Oryzias latipes: one gene and its partner. The protein of the gene in region 2 interacts with the protein of the main gene of each other region in a biochemical or structural test. Links are inferred from orthologs where the notes say so. Each region holds a gene or a part of one and is shown on either strand. Other genes may lie near its edges.

What was found.
Region 1: of the proteins of mapkapk2 (region 2) and zfp36l1, one has a biochemical effect on the other in vitro, tested with the Homo sapiens proteins (2 studies listed by BioGRID). The link is inferred for Oryzias latipes from reciprocal best matches to the Homo sapiens genes MAPKAPK2 and ZFP36L1.

Annotation. Positions count from the first base shown.
Region 1 is NC_019880.2:4,538,982-4,547,190, reverse strand, and holds zfp36l1 (mRNA decay activator protein ZFP36L1), read right to left. Parts: upstream 4,635-8,209; 5' UTR 4,476-4,634; coding exon 4,425-4,475; intron 3,584-4,424; coding exon 2,534-3,583; 3' UTR 503-2,533; downstream 1-502. UniProt on the Homo sapiens protein: Zinc-finger RNA-binding protein that destabilizes several cytoplasmic AU-rich element (ARE)-containing mRNA transcripts by promoting their poly(A) tail removal or deadenylation, and hence provide a mechanism for attenuating protein synthesis.
Region 2 is NC_019863.2:27,964,460-27,972,016, forward strand, and holds part of mapkapk2 (MAP kinase-activated protein kinase 2), read right to left. Parts: intron 4,267-7,557; coding exon 4,127-4,266; intron 1-4,126. UniProt on the Homo sapiens protein: Stress-activated serine/threonine-protein kinase involved in cytokine production, endocytosis, reorganization of the cytoskeleton, cell migration, cell cycle control, chromatin remodeling, DNA damage response and transcriptional regulation.

The sequences.
Region 1 (8,209 bases), on a different chromosome or scaffold from region 2:
TCTGGTAGGGGAGCACAGAATGGACCATTTTACTTAAAGTCACATGACATAGATCGGTATCCAATGCAAAGATCAGCTTAAACCTATGACCTCAGCAAAACACATTTTCCTTTTACTCACTTTTATTCTAGGAATCTGCACGGTTACAGCATCCACTGATCAATATTTTGGGCTTTGTGTAACCAAATTTGATTATTCTTAGGTCAATGACCCAGAGTAGCTCACCAATCAACTTCTATCTCAGTGAAACTCCCTTCAGCTCATCAAAAAAAATAAAAATAAAATAAAAGGGCCACTTCTGTGATGATATTCCAACAAAAGATGCCCCCCCAAACAAGAATCAAACATTAATTTTGCCCATTAACTGATTCACTACCGTAAATCTGAGCTCCAGAGAAAAAGAATAAGTTTAGATATTACGTTTTTTTATAGCAGGTCATTTGAATGTCTAACTTAAAAGTACACGTTGTGCATCGCTTGTCACAGAAACTCCAGAAACAGGTTTAACTTTTTCAAAAATACGGGGTTTATTGACTTAACTGCAATCAATACTTACAAAAGAAAAAAAAAAAAGGTTTTCCATAAGAAATTACTGTAGTGAAAACACATGGCTGGAACAAAACAAAAAAAATACATTCAACAGTTTTACTTTCTTTGTGTCAGACTGTTCACCTCCTCCAAAAAAACCACAGAGGGCAACAAGGAACAAGCGACATAAAAACTGTCCTCCATTATCAATATAAAAAGGCAAAAGTGCCTTAGCTACCTGGAATGTATTCGATGAGGCACTTCCACTGGTTAAGAGGCACATGGGGGGGGGGGGGCAAGCAAGCGCATCAAGCATCCAATCAAATTAAAAGAAAATTTATACTTTCCTCAACCCATTTGGTCAAAGCTATTGCTTGTAATAACGGACTAACATCTGAACATAACCAGTCCTCCAACTCACTGGACTGTCCTCAAACCACTGGATTTCTTTTTCTTAATTTGGCACCCCTTAAAACAAAACAAAAACAACCTCCAAACGGGGAACTTGGTTAAATTAACGTCATAACAGTGAGCAACTGTCGCTATCGGATCACTTTAAGGTCATGGGAATCGATCGAGCAAATCTAATAAAAAAAACAAAAAAGGTGGAATTGCAGTCCGATGAGGAGTAAAGAAAAATAAAGTACAATAAATATTAAAAAGAAACGCAAAACCACTTTTTTTCCATCTTTAAATAGTTTCATTTGACAAAAGTGTAGTTGCAGAACAAGTCATTGAAGTACAATATATTAAACTGTGAAAAAAAGAGAAAAAAAAAAGAAAGCTGACAAAAAACCGTCTTCACAATCTTTAGATTATTATGGAAGATCATAATTTAACATAAAAGAAAATATATTCTATTGTTCATTATCCAGATAAATACAAAAAACAAAAATTAACAAAAAAAATGCATATGATCACCAATAAATATGTTCTGATAAGTTAAATAAGCAGTGACACACAAACCTTCTGTCTGGAAAGTTTTTTTTTTTTTTCAAATAATAACCTTAATAAAAAATAATTAGAAAATAATGAAAGCAAAAGGGATGTAATGAATACAGAGAGCTCCTCTGAGCGAGGGGGGGTAAAGTAAAATAGCTTGGAGATCCGATCTTGTCGACACTTTTGGATGCAAACGGCATCATGGGAATGCTGAACTTCCCGGATCGAAGGCGAATGTGGAGAAGGTTGAATGTTTAGGGTTGATGAAGACTTCCTTCCCAAGTAAGAGAAAAAGCCAGTGACCAGCAACATGGGGGTGGGGGGCACAACCAACCTCCAGTTTAAAGTCCTTCTTGTACTCAGCCAGTTCAATTACATAAGGGCTTTAAAGGAAGAGGAGGGGCAAGTGAGGGAAAGAAAAAAAAAAAAAAGCAGTAGTCCATTCACCCTAAACATGCAGAAAACCGCCCCAGGCACTTTTTAACTATTTTTTTTTTTTAAAACCTATTCATATATTTTCAGGGTCTGTTATTTTTTTTTTTTGTTTTTTATTATATATCTCAGCTCAGTCTGTAAAAACGTCTGCCGTAGAGCTACATTAGTGAGCACCAACTAGCTAGCTCAGGATTTGAGGGTGGGTAAAGGAGGAGGGGGGGGGGGGGTCTGGTGCAATGCACCCCCCCCTTCCCAAGGCCACTTGTGCTGCTACACATTCAAGAATTGGTGGGGGGGGGGCACACAACAGAAAAAAGAAGGGACAAGTGGCACCTGGGAAAACAGTCAACGGTTGTTCATGATTTTCATTGTTCGGCTCTCTCTCCGGGTTTGGCACCACGACACGCCGGCCGCATCATCTGTGAGGGCTGATGTGCAGAATAAAGGAATTGGGGGGGGGGGGGTGAAATGACAACTGGAGTTAAGAAAGTTCCCTTAAATGATTACCCAGAGTTTGAGTAAAGCAGGCCAGAGAAGCTTCATGGGGAGGGGGCAGAGGTAGAGGGGAGTGCCATGTTTTCTGCGATAAAGGCGACTTGCCAGGTGTAGGGGGGGGGGGGGGGGGGGTCTAGTCATCAGAGATGGAGAGGCGGCTGAAGATGGGAAGGCGGCGTGTGGTGTCGAGGGTTGGGGACTCCGAGCCGCTCAGGCTCCCCCCGGAGCTGCTCTGATAGCCTTCCTGGTCTGACAGGGAGTCTGGGGGGCTGGATGGAGACTCGAACATCTGAGGGGACATGGATCTGATGAAGAAGGATCTGCTTGTGGGGGAAGGAGGAGCAGGGGTGTTGGACTCCACAGCACCGGTGCTGAGGCTGGGTCCAAACAGGCTGGCCAGCTCCTGGCTGGAATAGGTGAAGGGGTTGCTGCTGGGCCAGTCTGGGACCTCATCGGGGAAGAAGATGGGCGGCGGGGTGACGGAGGTGGGGCTGTCCCGCAGGCCGGCTGAGCTGGAGAAACCGGCGAAGCTGTAGCTGTGCTGCAGGCGAGGCCTTTCCATCTTGTTGGAAGAGTTTAGGGGGGAGGACTGCTGTGGGGGTCCACGGCGCTCCTCTGCATTGTGGATGAAATGGCAGCGAGGCCCGTAGGGGCAGAACCCGATGGTGTGAAAGGTGCGGCAGAGCTCTGTCTTGTATTTGGGATGGCGGCTCAGGCTGCGGAGTTCGTGGATGCCGTGGGCAAACTGGCATTTGTCACCGTACTTGCAGGAGCCGTTCTCCTCGAAGGGCCTGCAGAGCTCTGTCTTGTAACGGCTGGAGTTGACCTGGCTGCCCCCGCAGGTGGGGCTGGCAGGGCACTTGTTGATGAGCCTTTCCCCCGTCTCTGAGAAGGAGCGGTCTCGCAGGCGGTTCTCCTTGTTGCTGCTGGCGTTGCCAACCCCTGAGATGAGCGAGGAGTGGTCCGCTGCCTTCAGGCTGTTCAGAAACTGGTTCTGGTTGAACTTTGTGCTGCTGACAGAGTGCCGCCGCTGGTACACGCTTCCCACCGAGGGAGATCCCACCGCCTTCCTGTCCAGCAGGACCCCGGTGGGACTGGAGAGGGGCACGTTGGTGCCAGTGCAAGGGACAGACATGGGGTGGGGGAGACTCAGGTTGTTGTTGTAGCTCATCAGCTTGTTGTTCTGCAAGAATAAACAACGCTGCATTAGAGAAAAACATGAATGCAGAAGCTGCAGGTTAGAAGCTCGGATGCAGGTCGATAGGCCAGCAGCTGGTTTGGCAGGTTGCCTCGGTTAGGAATGTGCGCCTGCTCAGTAAAAAGGAGAAGCAGCACACCAGAGCTCTGTGCTGCAGGGGCCATTGCATCATTTGAAAGTTAATGAAAGCATTCTCTGCTGCATGACAAGAGGAACCTGATCTGCGTTACAAAGCACGTGCAAAACCAGCGGAGATCACCGGTTAGCCGATTTACATAAATGCAACAGATCAGGGGGGGCAGAGCGGGAAAACGGCGGCGGTGAAATAAACGATCCGTGGCGTGTATGCAAAAAAAAAAAAAAAAGAAAAGCAGCAAAAACCCACGCGTAAACAGGTCCCCGCTAAGCAAACATCCAGGTTAACCCGATCACGTTAAATGCTTTCCAGGGGCTATAGCCAGGCCAGCGTGGTCAATTATTAGCAAAGCACAAAACCCCGCGTGAGACTTTAACTTTACGACTTTAACTTTTGTTTTACGGCCTTCAAAAAGTTAGCTGATGTGGCACATGTTGAAAAGCTGATTCAAACTCATGCTAGCTCTAGCTAAAAGCCCGCGAGGCATTTTACTTATCACACATTATGGAGAGGAGAACGTAAACGGACAGAATTAGAACGGGGGAAAAAGGAAGATTAAAGCCAAACACACGTAGGAAAGGGAATCGGAGTCCGCAAAAATGGCGGCTCCTCATTCCTCCACAGCGGCTAACAGGCTAACCAGCAAGAAAGAAGAGGAAGAGAAGAAAACTTTTAAAGTTTCCCAGCTACCTTGTTCATTACTTCGAAGTCGAAGAAGGGAGAAACCACAGCTGTGGTCATGGCTGCACAGATCAATTCAAAAAGGTAATATGCGAAGAAAAAAAAAAAAAAAGCCCAAACGACTGTTGTTTGGAAAGTTACGCAGCTGCGCAGAGCCTCTGGTTCGCTGCTCCCGTGTGTTTTTCGCAGACTCCCCCTCTGCGCGTCTCCGGCTCACATTTGCTTTTATAATCTCAAGCAGGAGGAGCCTGCAGCTCTCTTTAGGGCGTCAACTTTCAGAAACTTTTTTTTTTTACCCCCCTCCCTCTCCGCTGTGTTAGTGGATATTCAACAGGTTTTCATGTAAAGGAATCAAACCTTTAACAGAGCTCAGATTCTGGATTTCTCTCAAAGAAAGAGAGAACATTGAAGTCTGAAGACTTTCCTCCTGTTTTTCTTTTCTTTTCTGAGGTTGTTTACCAGGAAGCACAGGATTTGATCCAGGATCTGCTCCTCTGTAATTAATTTACTCCTAATTGCTGAACTCTTGTGGGACTTTCCATGTGTTTAAGCAGTTTTAACTCCTTCCCTGCTGCAGTTAAATAACCATTACTGACTTGTTTTTATTCCTGGTCTTCCCTTTTTTTTCCACAGTTTCTTTTCTTTTTTTTTTTTTTTTTGCAGCCCTAGCGTGTGATATAAAATCTCACAAGCTGCAAATCCATGACAGACCTTTGAAAATCCATGAGAGTGCAGCAGGCAGAGTTTGCCTCAGAACACAGGAGGCGGCAAAAAAGAAAAAAAAAGAAAAGAAAAGTTGGGGGAGCGTGTTGTTAACAAAAAAAAAAAAAAAAAAAGTTGGAGGAGGGGATGAGGAGGAGATTTATGGTGGACGTTTATTACTACACAGCACTGCCCCAGGGAGGTGAATGAGGCTGGTGGGGATAGAGGAGGCAGAACATTCCCTTTCCCCTTCCTCCTTTTTGCCTATCCAGGAGCCAAGCAGGAGGAGGTGGTGGGGGGAGAGCTTTGTCTCCCTGGAGGAGGCAGGGAAGCTTGTTTTTGCAAAGAAAGGAGAGTCCAACTAATGCAGCAAGAAAAGTAGATGAAACCTTTTTGGTTTTCAGCTGCTTTTGCAGGCAGGGAGGCGGGCAGGCAGGCAGGCAGGGCGTGTTTGAGTTTTACAACAAGCCGGGCCTTGTGGAGCCATCTCCCCCTGCAGTGTTTTCACAGACGACAGGCCGGGATGACACACTTGCTAGAAATCACGTCTGCAGTTCAAAGGCCTGGTAACTGATTGATCAGATGGATCATCTGAGGATCTGATAGAGTGTTTGAGGAATAAATACAGCAGGGGGAGAGGGGGAGTAGTCTTTATTTCCCAGGGAACACAAACACTTGGGAGCTTTCTGGAACCTTTATTACTACAAAAATCACCCTATTTCTAATGTGCAATAGTATGTTTTTATAATACTCTGTGTGCATTTTCTGCAGTTACATTCTCCTGCCAGTAGGATATTTCACTACCATGTAACCCTTGTGCTATCCTAGGCACTTTAACATTGGGGAGTTGGGTCATCTAGACCCACTAGACAGTGCGTTAAAACTTCTTTCTTCAATGATTTGTGATCTTCACTGGTGTCCATGGATTACATGAAATCTTTCCACCTTTATCCACCTTTGTCATGGTAGGGAGAACACGTCAATGTAAGGGTGGGGTCATCTAAGATAGCACAAGGGTTAAAACCCTCTCCAATCATAATCGTGTTTTGGACGTTTTTAACATGTTCTTGTAGCATTTTTCTCATGATGGAGGACACATTTAGGAGCAGACAAAAAAAATGCAGTTGGAAAAAGCTTGTATGTGTGACATAAAACCTACAACGGTAAGTCAGAAGCTCCAAGCTCTATTCTGATGCATCCGCTTGTAGACGACTGGATCCATGTACGTTTTCCATGTACGAGCTGGCATCTGCCTCGAAACACAGGAGTGTAAACAGATTGATGACGGAAAGTAGGGGCGGGCTCACTGTTGGTCCCACCCACCTACACTCAGAGGCAAATTTCTAATGAACTCCTGCTGCTCTGCAGAAACGATTTCCTAAAAATTGCACATTATTTATTTGGGCTAAAAATGGCATAATCATAATCAAAAGCCCACTGTGGCCGCTTTTACGACTGGAGTGGAGCTGCTGCTCAGGCTTGAACGTTGTCTTTTCCTCTTGCAAATGTGTTTCTGTGCTCAATTTTGTTCGACTCAGATGTTTCTCTAGGCTCAGGAAGAGGCACCTGTTTCCTGCCTGAATGAAAATATAAATGAAAAAAAAAAAAGCTAGTTTGTTCTCTTAAGGGATGAAGTCAGATGCACGCTTGCTTTTCACATGCAAGCAGTTAACCTCCTGAACGACTGCTGACATAACTTTGACACAGTGTGTTGCGACAGTTTGCCCCGTGACTTGTTGCTCTGCTGAGGTTGTGATTGCAGGAAAGAGCATCTGTGGACTTCCTCAGTAAATCTGCTTGAAGTGACAATTCTTTGTGACGCCACTGTGAAGCATAGTTCAAAAGATGGAAGTTAGGGAAAGTTTCCTCCCGAAAGGTCGACGTTTTCAGTCCCTTTGTTTGTTCATACATATTTGGAAATGTTGTACGACACCCAAAAGTTCTTTAAAACCTTGTGTTTTTATTGGTCCCATTCCCCTGCTGTTGACAGCATGCAGTTCTCCCTCTGTAAAGTTGATTTCCAAGCGTTTGTGCAGCCTGGGGTCAAGGCTGAACTCCGTTTTTTTTCTGAGTGGTTTAGATTTCTGACTTTTCTGCTCCCCTCCCCACTCCAACACACACACAGACTCTTCAGAAGGGAGGATGGGGTTGGAGCTTGAGGTCACAGATAACATTTAGGGGGGATGACAGGATGTTTAATTTTTATCTAACTCAACAGGAGATGAAAGAAGTCAGGGGGAGAAAACACAAATGCTTGCTGGGGGATTATTAAAATCTGCTGCAGTGCTACATTTAGGCCAGTAGAGGGCGGAGTTCTTCCCCATTCTCAATCCTTTATTTTTTAAAAGGAAGTTAATGTTTGTTTTTAGCACAACTATACTTAAAGTTGATATACTTTTCTGGTATATGTTGTGTAACAAGCATACACCAACTCAAGTTTTTGGTGAGACATTTCTACATGTTTTTTAAACACCTACTTTTCTTAATATGTTGCAAAAAATGAGAATTTTTATTTTTAAATGTTACTTGAGTGATTTGACATGTTTCAGAAACATGCAAGAACTTTTAATCACAAAGAAAATAAATCAAAAATTTACTCTTTAAAAGTGAAAAATCCTCCTCTCAGCTGTTTTGAAGTAGAGTTTGAATAAAGTATTCTCTTTAATCTGTGTTGTTATGAGTCCCATAAACTCCATAAACTTTTCCATTACTTCCTGTTTGTCTGAGCACATCTTTCGAAACAGTGACAGGACAGCACATCGAGTTGAGCAATCACCGGTCAAGGACAGCCAAGTCTGAGCAGAGTTTGATTTCCTGCCTGTTTGAGCCTGTGTTCACACTCAAACTGCATGCGCCTCATTCCTCCATCTCCAACATCCCGGCTTGTCTGTGTGATCTGGTTCTTGTCTGTGTAAGCTTTGACGGCCAAGCGCACCACGATGGCATCCTTTCATGTCTGGTGGAAGGCAGAGTTCATGTGGGAGCGCTGTGGTCATCTCTCAGGGTGAAACTAACCTCATGGAGGAGAGTTTGAGGGGGAGGGAAAGATGGTAGAAAGAGAGAAAACAAGAACTTGCAGCAATTAATTGTCC
Region 2 (7,557 bases):
AACACACTTTTTTTCATTTCATGGGGTCGTAAGTAATTGGACAAATGAAATAACTGAAAACAAAATGGTCATTACTAATATTTGGATGAAAAGCCTTTGTTGGCAACGACAGCCTGAAGTCTTGAACTCATGGACATCACCAGATGCTGGGTTTTCTCCTTCTGAATGCTCTGCCAGGCCTTTACTGCAGCGGCTTTCAGTTGCTGTTTGTTTGTGGGCCTTTCTGTCTGAAGTTTAGTCTTCAATAAGTGAAATGCTGCTCAGTTGGGTTAAGATCAGGTGACTGACTTGGCCATTCAAGAATATTCCACTTCTTTGCTTTAATAAACTCCTGAGTTTCTTTGGCTGTATGTTTTGGGTCGTTGTCCATCTGTGTTATGAAACGCCGCCCAATCAGTTTGGCTGCATTCACCTGGATCTGCGCAGACAGTATGTCTCTGAACACCTCAGAATTCATTGGGCTGCTTCAGTCCTGTGTCACGTCATCAATAAACACTAATGTCCCAGTGCCACTAGCAGCCATGCACGCCCAGACCATCATACTGCCTCCACCGTGTTTTACTGATGATGTAGTGTGCTTTGGATCATGAGCTTCTCCACGCCTTCTCCACACTTTTCTTTTGCCAGTATTCTGGTAGAGGTTGATTTTGGTTTCATCTGTCCAAAGAACGTTTTTCCAGAACTGTGCTGGCTTTTTTAGATAATTTTTAGCAAAGTCCAATCTAGCCTTCCTATTCTTGAGGCTTATGAGTGGCTTGCATCTTGCAGTGTACACTCTGTATCTACTCCCATGCAGTCTTCTTTTTATGGTAGACTTGGATATTGTTATGCCTACCTACTGGAGAGTGTTGTTCACTTGGTTGGCTGTTGTGAATAGGTTCCTCTTCCCCATGGAAATGATTCTGCGATCATCCACTGTTGTCTTCCGTGGATGTCCAGGTCTTTTTGCGTTGCTGAGCTCACCAGTGCTTTCTTTCTTTCTCAGGATGTACCACACTGTTGATTTAGCCACTCCTAATACTGTAGCAATTTCTGGCATGTTTTCTTCTTTTTTCTCAGCTTAATGATGGCTCCTTTCACCTGCATGAGCTCCTTTGACCACATGTTGTCTGTTCACAGCAAAATCTTCTAAATGCAAGCACGAGTCCTCTAGTCAGCTCTAGGCCTTTCATCTGCTTCACTCATAATGACATAACAAGGGAATTGCCCACACCTGCCCATGCAATAGCATAGAAGTCAATTGTCCAATTACTTATGAGCCCATGAAATGAAGGGATTGTGTTTAAAAATGCTTTAGTTTTTCACATTTTTATGCAATCTTTTTGTTCAACCCATGGAATAAAAGCTGAAAATCTGCACTTCAATGGCATCTGAGTTGTTTTATTTAAAATTTTTCATTTTTTTCTGTACCGCTTTGTCCCTTTCGGGGTCACGGGGCTGCCGGAGCCTATCCCGGCTACTTGGGCGTAGGCAGGGGATGCCCTGGACAGGTCGCCAGTCTGTCGCAGGGTAGAACGTCCACAGTCACACACCCATTCACTCTCACACTCACACCTATGGACAATTTAGAGTTGCCAATTAACCTATGAAGCATGTTTTTGGACAGTGGGAGGAAGCCGGAGATCCCGGAGAAAACCCACGCATGCACGGGGAGAACATGCAAACTCCACACAGAAAGGTCCCCCATTGATGTATTTTTCAAGTCCCCCAGCCAGGACTTAAACCGGGGGCCTTCTTGCTGTGAGGCAAGAGCACTAACCACTGCGCCACCGTGCAGCCCTTGTTTTATTTAAAATGCACTGTGGTAATGTACAGAAAGAAAATTAGAAAGATTGCATCTCTGTCCAAATATTTTTGGTCCTGACTGTATATAAAGAAAAATCCAGCTTGAAATGGTGTTTCTGAGTATTTCTTTATTCAAATCGCTGTGAATCAGGAGCAAACAAAAAATGCAGTTTGAAAAAGCTTGTAGTTGTGATGTAGGCATTACAATGGCTAGGCCACAAGCTCCCTGCTCCGCTCCATTCCGATGGTTCTGCTTGCAGAGAAAAAGATCCATACTGTTTACGTCTTCATTTTCCTCGTCTGAGCATCAAAACCGTACGGCTGGGTAGCTCCAATGTTGCTCGCCATTTTTGTTGCACTGGTGATGTTAGGTTGGGGGTGTGAGGAGCTGTAAGCTAGCAGGAGAGAATGTAAACAAAGGGATGATAGGAAGTGTGGGCAGGTTTACACTGAGCCAATTGTCTCACCCACAACTTTCTAATGAACTCCTGCCGCTCTGCAGAAACTATGTCCTAGAAATTTCAATGAAAATATTTTTTTCAATGATTTGATGATAAATGATGATTAAAAACTCAAAATGACTAAGTGTAACCACCCTGTTCTAAATAAACTAATGAATTACTTCACATTAGGTGATTCATTAATTTATAGAGAATAGGGTGGTGTGTCACTTTTTAAACTAATCTTTATTTTATGTAATAGATTCTCCAATGGTCATTAGCGTAATGTGTAATTTCTTTATCAGCACATAGCAGCAAGTGTTTTTTTTCTTTTGTAATCCCACAATGTACATTTAGTTGAGTTAAGAAAAGTCTTATTTATTGCCAACTTAGTTTTTCTCAAAACTGACATATGTGGTGAAGAGAATTCAGTAATTTTTCTAAATAAAAAAAACGCAGAATCAAACAGTATAGAAAATGGAAAAAAAATGCAAGTTATGATTCTTTTTTTGTGGTCTTGTTTGTACCAATTGACTTACGGACGACTTCTGGTCGTTTTTGCGTGGAAAAACTGCATCAATGAGCTTGGGTTTGATTTCACAATCAGTAGCTTCCTCTTCTCAAAAGGAGCAAAAACAATAGAAATACATCAAAGACCAAATGATAGACTGTGCAGGAAGTGACAGGAAACTGCTCCAACAAGTCAAGTGCTGCAGAAAACAGCGGTTGAATTTGGCTTACCTGTGACAAAGTCACAAGGATTGTGGTTTCCTCCCACAACATCCGACAAGGTCCGTAAAAATACTCAAATAATAAAATGTCCAAAAAAATAAATAAGTTTGGGGTTGTGTAATCTGGCTTCCTCCCACAGCCCACCAGCATATCTGATAGATTTTTTTTAAAGCTTCTAAACCGTGGTTGGCTCCATGCCAACATTTGTGAGTAACAAGTGACCTTGTCCATATAAGGACTTTGGCCTTTGCATTTTTAAAGACCCACTCCAATCAAAATCACCTTTCTGTTGTGAATCAGGAGCAAACGGAAAAAAAAAGCAGTTTGTAAAAGCTTGTAGTTGTGAGATAAGTGTTACAGTGGGCAGGCCATCCCTCCCTACTCCGCTCCATTCCGATGCGTCCACTTGCAGACAAATGGATCTGTTAATGTTTTCATTTTCCCCGTTTGAGCTGGCATCTTGCTCAAAATCGTACAGGGGGATGCTTCGATATTCCTCACCATTTTTGCGGCACCACTAATGTTAGGTCAGGGGTGTGATGACCTGTTAGCTAGCTGGAGAAAGTGTAAACAAAGGGATTATGGGAAATCGGTCCCGCCCACAACTCAGAGGCAGATTTCAAATGAATTACTGCCACTCTGCAGAAACTTTGTCCAAGAAAACAACACGTGCTTTTTGATTTTGGCTAAAAACAGCATAATTATAATTCAAACACCACTGGGAACACAATAGATCAAAAGATGATTGGAGTGGGACTTTAAGCCATATTTTATGCAAATATTAAAAATCTCTCTCTAATATGAAGGTTTCAGCTTTTAATGATAAAGATGAAGAATTCCTCCACCATACAAGATGAAATTCCTTGCCTTATTTCCCTGAGTAGAGTAGAAATACTTCATATAGATCAGAACTATTTGAAGGTCTTGATAAATCTACAATGGTAATGATTTAAAACTTTGCAAGTGTTTTCTAGAAGTGTGCTTTTTTAACTCAAGGTTCAATTCCAAACTGAATGTCATCAAGGACGGATTGGATTGAAACGCAGACTCCCATCTGGTCACTCCATTCTTAGTACTGCGGATGTGTGCTAATAAGGATTGCCTCAAAAGGTTTTGTGTGTGTGTGTGTGTGTGTGTGTGTGTGTGTGTGTGCAGGGGACTGTGCTTACCATTCCATGACAATAAGCAGACACTTCCTTCCCTGATAGAGGTTTTCAAAGACATCGATGATGCGCACAATACTGGCACAAGGTGATGCCCTCCAGTGAAGCTCCGCTTCCCTGCGTGCCTTGGGACAGTCCTGAAGCATCTGAAGACAGAGAAGGTTAGGTTAGTTATCCTGTGTTACGCATCTAAATAACTTAACTTGCAGGCAAGAAGTCAGGATGAAGGAAATTTGTTTTTTTGTCAACATTTCTGTACGAAAACTGAGAAAAGCATGGGATGGTGGACAATATGAATAAAGAATTAATAATAATAAAAAGGAAGAACATGGGTCAAATACTATTTTATTACAATGATCAAAAAGTGACATTTTTAAAGTGAGTTTGTTCAAATTAGATTTGTGCAACTATGGCACCCTCTTTGTGCAGCACAAACTCATTACACCATTTATTATAACTACAATCAAATTACCGGTAAATGAAATGCTTTTTTTTAACGTTGCTAAAAAGTGTAATAAAAATGACTATATAAATAGACATTTATAAATTCTAACATTTGTTCCCCTGTGGTTAATTACATTAATCTAAAGAGTAAAGAAAAATCTAGTTTTAGGCTTAAATCTTTATAGATCAAGTACTTATCTTTTCTGAGGTGTTCATTTTTTTTAAAATCCATGTAACGTTATTTTTTGTTGTTTTATTTAGGGTTTTTTTGTCAGTTGTGTAAGTTTACAACTTAACCTGAGTTCACAAATACAAAAAAGGAAACATTCATCTACAGGGGAGGGTGCCGTCTCCATGGTTACACCCTAAAAATCAAGTCTGTCACAATGTAATGGAAGATCCCCTTTTCAAAGTATGCCTTCAAACAGTGAAGGGAAACGCGCCACACTAACATCACTAATGTAATGCAGGACAAAATGAATTTTCAGTCCATCTGGTAGCGCACAACATTCCAACACTGCCCACAACTTCACAGTGGGCTTCATTCCACAGACAACAAACGTCTACTTTTCTCAAAGGAGTAATGCACACAAGTGTTTGTGCATTACAAACTAAAAACATTAACAAGTTATTTGTGAAACAAAAGTAAGAAGCCAAAGAAAACAGATGTCAGCTAATTCAGTTTTAAAAAGGCATTCCCATGGATCACATATGAAATTCTAAATCTAATTTGCAAAAAATCTTTGTCTTATCTGGTGTGAGAAACGGCTGATAATGGTACAAAAGCCTGCTTGGTGTGCCACGTTCCCTCTATGTGCAAAGCTTAGACTTAAAGATCTCTGGATATTTTCAAATTTGAGTCAGTCTTAAAAGGTCACCACTGTTTCTAACAAAAATATATTTTTTAATTCAACGCAGTACATTTTTGATTGATGCAGAAAACATCTGATTGCACCTATTTTTATGCTGAAAGATCTTTGGTGCATTATATATGAACATGAAATTAAGATAAATGATACAATGGTGCCACCTGCTGATGGAAAATAGACACTGCAGTTCCACTCTGATAGGAGGTAAACTACAGTCACAAGTTGTTTTTAGAACGTTGACATCATCAATGTCACCAGCAAAAAATAATTAAAAAAAGATGAGAGATCAAAATCTAAAAGTTTACAACCAGCTGGAGTCTTTCTGCATGAACTAATGCATGTTTACATTGCATCTGCATCAGTTATGCTCATCAAATGCATACATGAATGATGTCTAAGTCTTTAAAGCTCTGAGAGCACATATTTTTTCTTTGTGCAATTCCATTGACAATGTTAGACACAAGTTTGACCCAACGGAAGCAGAGCATATAGATAATGAGAGGGTGAGTCATGACTCGGTCATCCTCCACAGAAGTGATACTTTTAGTGTCGCATGCAGGGCCACAAGAACAAGAACAGAGGGCTTTCTGGCTGAAACATTTTCCACTTCACAAGGAGTTCAAGTGCAGAGCTCCTGTGAAATCCTGACAGAGCTGCTGTAAGCTAACATGAGCATCACTTTATAGAAAGTACTACAATTTAGCTCCAATCTTAAAATCCTCAAACTCAAAAATGAAGACATCCAAATAAATCTGTCTTTAAGGTAAACTTTTTGAACATGTTCCAATTTTCGAAACGACTGCCAGCATCTAGCAAATGTCCACCTTGGTGTAGTTATTCAGAAAAAGCATCGAGTTTTAGACATTGTTTTGGAAGACGAGAGGTCTTCTGCATTTAGATATCAGTTTCCAGAGAAAAGGAAAAACTAACTGTAGGCTATTTAATTTAAAAAAAAATCCCCTAAAAGGCCAAGGAAAGGTTTGAAAAGCTAAAAACAAGTTACATTTGCAGATTTTGATTGAAGTCAATTTTAGGTCAGCCATAACATTTTAAATTGATTTTAACAAGATTTGATTTAAAAAGTGGTTTAAAATGATGTAAAAACTGGGATATATGTTGGGTCTATAACAGATTTCTCCATGGGAATAATTAACAGGACTAAGTGTCCTGTTCTGCTAGGATGTTAGTCATCAACAGTTGGTTTGGTCTTTAGAATTCAAGAAAATGTATAACAATGGGTAACAGTAGCGGGATTCTTTTAAGTGCAGTAAGAATATACAACTGCAGGTACAGGGATGATACAGTCCCTGTATGATTTACAGTGCTTGTCCCCTGAAGGGTGTAAGGGTGCAAAACAGGATTGCATGCAATGAAGGAAAAATAGATTCACTGCGCTTATCTGCAGTTTGGGTTATTTTTCATTTCTTCACAGAACATAAATACATCTGAATACACTTATACCAAAAATACTGAGAATTTTGTATTTTAAGACCAGAAATAAAATGGAAAAAAAGTCCTACATATTCTTCTTTCTTAAATGCTCACTGTAAACATGTATACGTAAATCATGTTAACAAGAAAAGAAGTCAGTTATCTTATTCAGACGTACACTGTGGTTTTAAACATTGAAACAAATGTGGTCATTGAGCCATTAGGTCTTTGTTTCATAGAAGGTTCGGTGACAATTGCTAATAACGGAATTTAGCCAATCACAATCAAGAAAGCATCTATCCAGTTTTAGAAAGTGCTGGGGGGGGGTCCACATTTTTTTACAGGCACATGTGGGCCGTAGAACTTTGAATGCGTGATGCATTTGCCTCTGGGGCCGGACCTGGACATGCCTGGCTTAAGGAGTCCTTTAAAATAATTTAGCCCCTCCCCCTGTGCCCAAAACAAGTCTGCAGTTAGTGAAAGGATTTACATTTTATACAAAAGCAGAAAAATAAGACTTATTATTCAAAAACAATAGAAGAAACAATTTAAGAAGCCAAGCAACATTTCAAACATTATTTCTATACATCCGCTGGTAATGACATCATTTCATATTTTCAGGTGTATGATGGTTGGATAATGGCTCTTGCGCACGCTCCTAATCCATGGAAAGTGCATTTCGTCTAAGTGTGC